2 linked regions of the Schizosaccharomyces pombe genome follow. The gene in region 1 interacts genetically with each later gene. Each region holds a gene or a part of one and is shown in the gene's direction. Other genes may lie near its edges.

The links.
Region 2: of rtn1 (region 1) and yop1, changing one enhances a phenotype caused by changing the other (phenotypic enhancement), as found in Schizosaccharomyces pombe (one study listed by BioGRID).

Annotation. Positions count from the first base shown.
Region 1 is NC_003423.3:1,261,919-1,265,676, reverse strand, and holds rtn1 (reticulon Rtn1), read left to right. Parts: upstream 1-2,072; coding exon 2,073-2,999; 3' UTR 3,000-3,379; downstream 3,380-3,758. UniProt on the Schizosaccharomyces pombe protein: Required for the correct positioning of the cellular division plane by delimiting the actomyosin ring assembly at the cell equator. Overexpression causes cell lysis.
Region 2 is NC_003421.2:2,195,146-2,198,896, reverse strand, and holds yop1 (ER membrane protein DP1/Yop1), read left to right. Parts: upstream 1-1,696; 5' UTR 1,697-1,784; coding exon 1,785-1,835; intron 1,836-1,968; coding exon 1,969-2,251; intron 2,252-2,374; coding exon 2,375-2,589; 3' UTR 2,590-3,104; downstream 3,105-3,751. UniProt on the Schizosaccharomyces pombe protein: Required to generate and maintain the structure of the tubular endoplasmic reticulum network and the vacuole. Induces high curvature in membranes and causes membrane tubule formation. Involved in membrane/vesicle trafficking.

The DNA of each region.
Region 1 (3,758 bases):
TTTTTGCTCTTTTCGTTTCCCCTTTTTCCTCCTTCGTAATCCTTCTTTTTCGTACTGCACTCCCTTGCCTTATACATGTACCGATGCCATACTCCCATCTCATCCCATCCGATAAGCGGCAGTCGCGACCAGCTCATGCTGGTGATGGTAACGAGATTTGTCCAACAATTCATTAAACATCATACTGTGGAACAAGACCGTACAGCAGAGTGCAGTAAAGGATTTGCTAAAGGAGAGAAGAACCCGACCGTTTCAGTAGAGTAGAGTAGAGAGGAAAGAGGAAAGGATGATACATCATTACTTTGAATACGATACAACACAATTCTTTCAGTACAATGTAATTCACTTCTATGCAATGCAGTCCACTTCTATGCAATTCAGTCCAGCGCAATGCAATTCCATACATTTCATTTCAATTCATAATTTCATATACTAGCATACGATGAGATGTCCAATTTATTAAATACGTTTTCTCTTTCTCCCTCCCTTTTCACGAAAAGGCAAGAAAAGCCTTCTTGTTCATCATACGGTATGCTTGCAATTTTTAAGTGGGTGTAAATAAACAGACACACAACGCATAATGAGATGATGAAGAATTTCAATACAAACTGATTTGTACAAAAAAAATTAAATTATAAAAAGAAAATCTATTCAATTCAATTCAATTCGTGAAAAAATAAAAAAAATAAAAAATTCGAAATAAAATTACATTAAATTAATTAACGTAAACTGAAATAAATCAATTACTAAATGTAGAAAAGGTATGGTCTTATTTATTTCATCATATATATATATATATTTTTTTTTGAAATACATTTGCTTTGATTCTTAAGAAATAAATTTTTTGTCAAAAAAATTTCCAAAAAAAAAAAAAAAAAAAAAAAAGGCTTCAGAAGTTTGAATGAATTTTGTTTCTTCAAAGTTTTAATTGATTTCAATTCCTCAAATATTAAATAATTTTTTAAACAACAAATTTCTTCGTGTTTTACTCACTTGTGGATGATTCATCATTTCTCACCGTTACTATTCCTTTCCTTTTTCAATCTTTAATCCTTTCTTTATTCAGTTGTATCCTTTTCCTTTTCATCACTCTTATCCCTTTCTCCTTTACATTTTACAATCAAACTCCATACTTCGCTCTCCTTTCAACAAACTATCCTACACGAATTTATTTATCTATTTCTCACTTTTTTTTCGCCTCTTGTAGCCTTTCCTGCACTTAATCATTGTTTTCCCTTTATTTACTCTTTTTTCAATATCTCTAGCTTTTGCAAAAGTCATCCGTTTTCGCTCGTTCTTTCGTTTTTCATCCATTTTCATTGTTTCTCTATTCATTTCCTTCTTTTTCATACCATTTCACCCATCTTTTCATACCATTTAACCCATCTTTTCCCGCCCATCTTCTTCCTATTCTTCGTTTTTCTTTTACCATCCAAAATTCTCTTTCATTAGCCTGCTGTAAACCGATTATAAGCATGATCGCTATAGTCGCCGCTGACACAGACTTATTGAGCCAAGAACAACGTCATTCCATGATCAACGCTATGACTGCTATCTAACCACCAACCACCGACTTGACTTTTACCATATAAAAGCAAAGCTTTCCAACTAACAACTTTCTAACAGTTTCGTAAGTGAAACATATTGACTTTCCTCTCAACAACTCGTGAAGGTCTCTTTTTGTATTTACCCATTCTACTTTTATTTTTTCTTTCGATCAATATCTCCCTTAAAAGTTAACCCTTTTGGAACTTGGCTTTGGATTTAATACATATACATTTTATTTATCCTACAGCAAAATCCAAAAATCTTTTATTCACTTTTTTAAGTCTTTGTTACAAAGTATTTCGCTCTTCCGAAAAGTCGTCCTTTACTAGCTATTTTCTTTAGTCGGCACTTTTCAGAATTAGTTTTCTTTAAATTTTCTCTATTTTTTACTATATCTTAAAAAAAAAACACTTGCACCCTTTTTTAGTTTAAAAGGTTTCTCTTTTTTTTTAAGGCTTCTTTTGATTCTTAGTAACTGTTTTACCTTAAGTTGTTATTTTAAAATTGAATATAACACGCAAATCATGTCTGAACAACATTCATTAAACCCCTTTGAATCCGGTTCCGTCACTGCTTCCGATGTCGCCGCTGCTAAATCCGGTGCTGAGGACCTTGTAAATACTTTGACTGCTCACACCGTTCACCCTTCCACCGAATTGCCCTCTGCCACTTCATTTCCCTCTGCTCTCCCCAACTCTGAGAATCCCGTTATTCAAAACATCTCTTCTTCCTCTTCCGAGCCCCACCACACCTCTCAATCCACACCTGGCGAGACAAGCAGTCCCGTCTGCCCAGTTTCCGGCGCTCACGGAGGTGCCGACAAAAAATGCCCTGCTTTGGAGGCCGGTTGCCCTTTTACCAACACTACTAAGCAAAACGTCGATCCTGAGATCTCTAATGCTTTGTGGTCTGTGTTGACTTGGAAGAACACCTCTTGCAGTTTCTCTACCTTGATGAGTATTCTTGCTCTCGTTTATGTCCCTTCTTGGATCAATCTTCCTCGCCTCTTTTTCAGAACTTTCCGTTATGTCTTTTTGATTACCTCCATCATTGAATTCGGTGGTCTTTTCGCTTCCAACGGTAAGCGTGGTGTCTTGTCTCACTTCCGTTCCTCCTACATCACCTGCGACTCCAAGGCTCTTGATAGGATTGTCAACTCAATTGTCGACATTTTCAACGTTATGTTGATTCAATTCCAACGTATCTTGTTTGCTGAGAGCCCTATTTTGACCTTTACTGCCTCTGTTGCTGCTTTTATTGAGTTTTTCCTTAGTGGCTTCCTTTCCTACAAGTCTCTCTTTGTTTGGAATGTTTTGTTTGCCTTCATCCTTCCCAGATTGTATGTATGCAATGAGCGCTCTATCAAGCATTTGGTTGCTTCCCTTGAGAGATCTGGTGATAAACTTAAAAAGCAAGCTACTGAGACTATAAACACCACTGTTAACAAGTAAACCTCTGCGGGATAATTTGTTTGATTGTTTCTGTCAGGTTGCGCTTGATTTTTATTTGGTTCGCTTCCTCGTTTATTTTAAGGTTTCAATAGTATCTTTTGCAAAAAAATGCAAGGGTAATAACCATGGTTTTGTTTTCAACTTTGAAAATGTGTTGCTGTGTTGTGTTGCGTTTCAAAAGTGTTGTATTATGACTTGAATTAGGAGATTGAATGCGTTTTCTCAATTATTTTGCTTATGACTATGAGTGTTTATTTTCATAAATACGTCTTTCTCATCTCGATATATTGTAAATGTAACAGGTTCGGCTCAATCTCTCATTTCTCTTCTGAGTTGCAAACTATTGCAGTGTGGTTGAAGTTCTTGTTGCTTTGCTCAATATGATGCTATTTTATTATATTTTCTCTGCTTCGTTTAATACCCAACGTACTTATTATTCGTAATTTAATCTCGTAATTACTCCGTGTTGTTTTGTAGGTCCTCCTCGTATTCCTTATTGCTGCTCTTTTCGAAAAAAAAAATATATATATATATTTTCCATAACTAAAATGGGTCTGTGGACGAAAAAATCTATTTTGTTTAACCAAATGACTAAAGTATTTGTTAACCAAAAATTATTATTTTTTTTCCACTACTTCGTATTTAATACAGCCGATCATACAGTAAAGTGCTGATTACACTCGCATGATCGTTGTCTGCTCTCACCACAAGTCATTCACTTATATCAATGTTGTGCCAGCTTTTTACGTTTAAGCTCAA
Region 2 (3,751 bases), on another chromosome or scaffold:
TGATGAACTTGGAGCTATTAAGTTAATACTTTTCTCTTGGAAAATGAGATATCGTCTGTTTTGGGAATACCTTGTTTACTATTTTCATTGTATCATCTGTTAAGCTTGACAACGGCCAAAAAGAGTTGTATCTACGAATGCATACTTTTGCCCATAAAAAAATAAACATTTACGTATTGGAATGAAAAAAATCATTGCAGGTCTCAGTAAACATCTCATGAATGTGTTTTCTTCGTGGGAAGGTACATCCTTAATATATCCCAATGATTCTAAATTTCCAGCAATCGTTATCAATTTTATTTTTTACAGACAAACGAATAATTTATTTAGCTGTTGACGGATGCTATAATTCTATGTCGTTAAAGACTGTATACACTTTACAGTTTGAAAAGTTTGCTTGACATTTACCGGTGCTTCTACAAGGTCTAAAGTAAGAAAGATAAACCAAAACTATTGTCATTACAACAGTTAACAGTAGCCAAAGACAGCTATAATCCCAACAAACATATAAAAATTCCTTAAATTAGGGGATTTTCTCAAGTAACGATTTTAAAAACCAGATAACAATCCTACTGAGTCAAAGAAGCAACCATATCCTTATAACGAAAACATCAGAAATTACTCAAATGATTAACAATATCAATAAACTAATCTATCAATTATTTTCGATGAACATTACTTCTTCTTATCCTTGATTAACAGCTATGTATGCTATTTTATGATATCTTCTCTTGAAAACCCCAAAAAAACAGTCACATTAAGAAGAATATAAAGGGCACTGTGCTTTCTGCTTTTGCATAGTTCTTTCACCTGGAGTGTGCTCATCTAAATAGTAAATAGGTAAGTTTCATCATTTCACAAATGGAGATTTCAGAGGATGCGAAATATATACCCAAATTGTATAGCAAGGATAACGGGGTAATCGTTTTGGTTGCCTTCTTGCAGTGATAAAGCATTTTGTCATAGTTACACTGATGAAATTCTTCATTTGCTTAAAACTTTTTGGTCTTAAGTTTGAAAATTCTTTACTAATTTTGAAATAGATAAAAGAAGCCGTTTTTAACAGTTAGACACCATCCTATTCTTGAGATGGTTTTTTTATTCGATCCACGAGTTTTTGATAATTACCGATACTATAAATTTAATAAGAAATTAAAAATTTACTTTATTAAGTCAAAACTTGTTTACATTTAGTAGTAATTTAATTACAATTGAAAGAGTAATGTTGGTAGTGATATATATCTATGCAGACTTGTATGTAATGTAGACATTCTTTAAATCAGAGAACCGTAAAGTTCGGTTGTCCTCCTTAACTTTAGATAATGCAACCGTACATATTTTGCAGGGCTTGACTTTAGCGAACTGCATAGTCCAGTTGTTCATGGTTTGGTTAAAACAATACAACGTAGCATACTGTGGAAGTAAATCGCTCATTTTTGCTATGGTTTTTTTACTGTTAAATGCTTTGGTAATGAAGTAAATAAACTTAGACAGAAACACAAGATGACTGTTTGATCGGCTGAAAATACATACGGCAATTCTTTTGAAAATCGGATTGTATTTGTACTATACAGTATCGTATTTACTGCGACTTTCCTATGCACTAATTAATATACCACACTGACGGTACGAAGCGAATGCCTGTAATCGTGACGTTGTTCACTACCACCGATAGAATAAATGCAAACTTATCTTTAGCAAACAACTCCCATATTCTAAGACAAATAGTTCGTTCAAAAGAAAAATTATTGAACACTCAGATAATTTAATTAAGCAGTACCAAAATGTCTTTTCAAGTTCGTGTTAAGCAGAATATGCAAGATTTGGATAACAGGGTATGTTAGCAATAAGGCAGGATATCCGATGGAAGCCGCTTTACGCACTCGGCAATATAGGCTATTATTAGTATCTTGTGATTTTAGAAATTATTCTTTCTATTCAAATTTGTTTACTAACTTTTTTTTCCAGTTGGCAGCCTTTCCTCAACTCAACAGTTTGGAAAAAAATTTTGGTGTTAGCAAGCTTTATGTTTTTCTTACTGCAGCTGGTATATATGCCTTGTTCCTTTTCTTGAACTGGGGTGGATTTTTACTGACCAACCTTCTGGCATTCGCGATGCCTGCCTTCTTTAGTATCAATGCTATTGAAACTACTAACAAGGCCGATGACACTCAATGGTTGACCTATTATTTGGTAACTTCATTCCTCAACGTTATTGAGTACTGGTCTCAGCTAATCCTTTACTATGTCCGTAAGTGTTTAAATTTTTTGTATTTAGAGGCGTGATTATAAGATCATTAAGGATCTAATAAATTTTGCTCTCTGCTTTTAAATTTATTTTTTTTATTTACTAACTGGGGATTTTCCTTTTTAGCTGTGTATTGGTTACTCAAGGCTATTTTCTTGATTTGGCTTGCTTTGCCTAAATTCAACGGTGCTACCATTATCTACAGACACTTGATCCGTCCCTATATCACTCCTCATGTGATCCGTATTTGCAAAAGCGTTTCTCGTCAAAATGCCGCTCCTGCGCCCACAGCCTCTTCTTTTGCACATACTACCGCTACTGACATTCCACCCTCTATCTAGAGATTTCTGAACAAAATGTTTGGAATGGACTTGTATTCCATAGAATAGTTATGCTATACTACTCGATGAATGATTGAAAATCATACAACGGTAACGTTGTTTTCTTGTTTTTTCCCATCACAATTGACTATATTTTGGACAATTGCAAATAATTCAGTGTTTCAGAAGCTTTGCCTTTCTGAATCTCTTTCCTCTAGTTCTGATTATTTTTATTGACTGTCAAAAATTTAAAAAAATTTGGCCTTTTATATGCCGCTTTCGGCATGGACCTCGGCAATGTTGAAGGGTTTATACTATATGTATATCGCGTAGTCTTTTTGAGCAGTACAAAATTATAAGGCTGCATGCTTTACCACAGTACCGAAATTGCAATAGACATTTATTTTATGGCAACTATAGTAACTTACACACACATCCCAAAAGCAATAACCAGACTACAGTATACTTACAATGATATACCCATATTCGAAATTGCTGAAAAAAATTCTGAAGATTAATAACAAAGTACTATCTCAAAGTAACTGCCGCTTTGTAGAATTGTAATATAAAAATATCGCAATCAATTTATATTTTGTACAAATACATACAATACGTCTTTCAATAAACAGTTAACCCATTATAGCGTCGTTAAACACAATAATGAACTCTACCACTTTACATTGTGCATTTAAGAAACTTCGTTAAACCACATCAGTTTCTCGCTTATACTCGAAGTTTCTAGCATTACATCATGCCATGGTATATGGTCCGTCCCAGCGGGTACAAAAACATCTACTGTCTTCACACATTTTGTTTCGTTTCCAAACGATATTTAGAGTGTATTGCAACGTTTACATTCCATTAATATTTGGTCGAAAGAATAGTATTTCTTATTGACTTTACATACACTACTTTGGTACTATTTTTCTTGAAAATTCAGGAACATTGTACAATTTGAATTGTAAGGTTTTCTTACGAAATATATATAAAGGAGTTATAACACAAGAAAAGTGGAAAAATAAAACTTTCATTTCGTTTATTCGAGAACAAATAAACCGAAAAAGCTTCGCTTTTGTTTGATTTTTCGTTTCTATTTATTTCTCTTCATTTTTCTCGTTTTTTTGATTCCACCATAACGATTTATATTGTGTTTGTGTTTGATAAAGCATCTACACTCGCACTT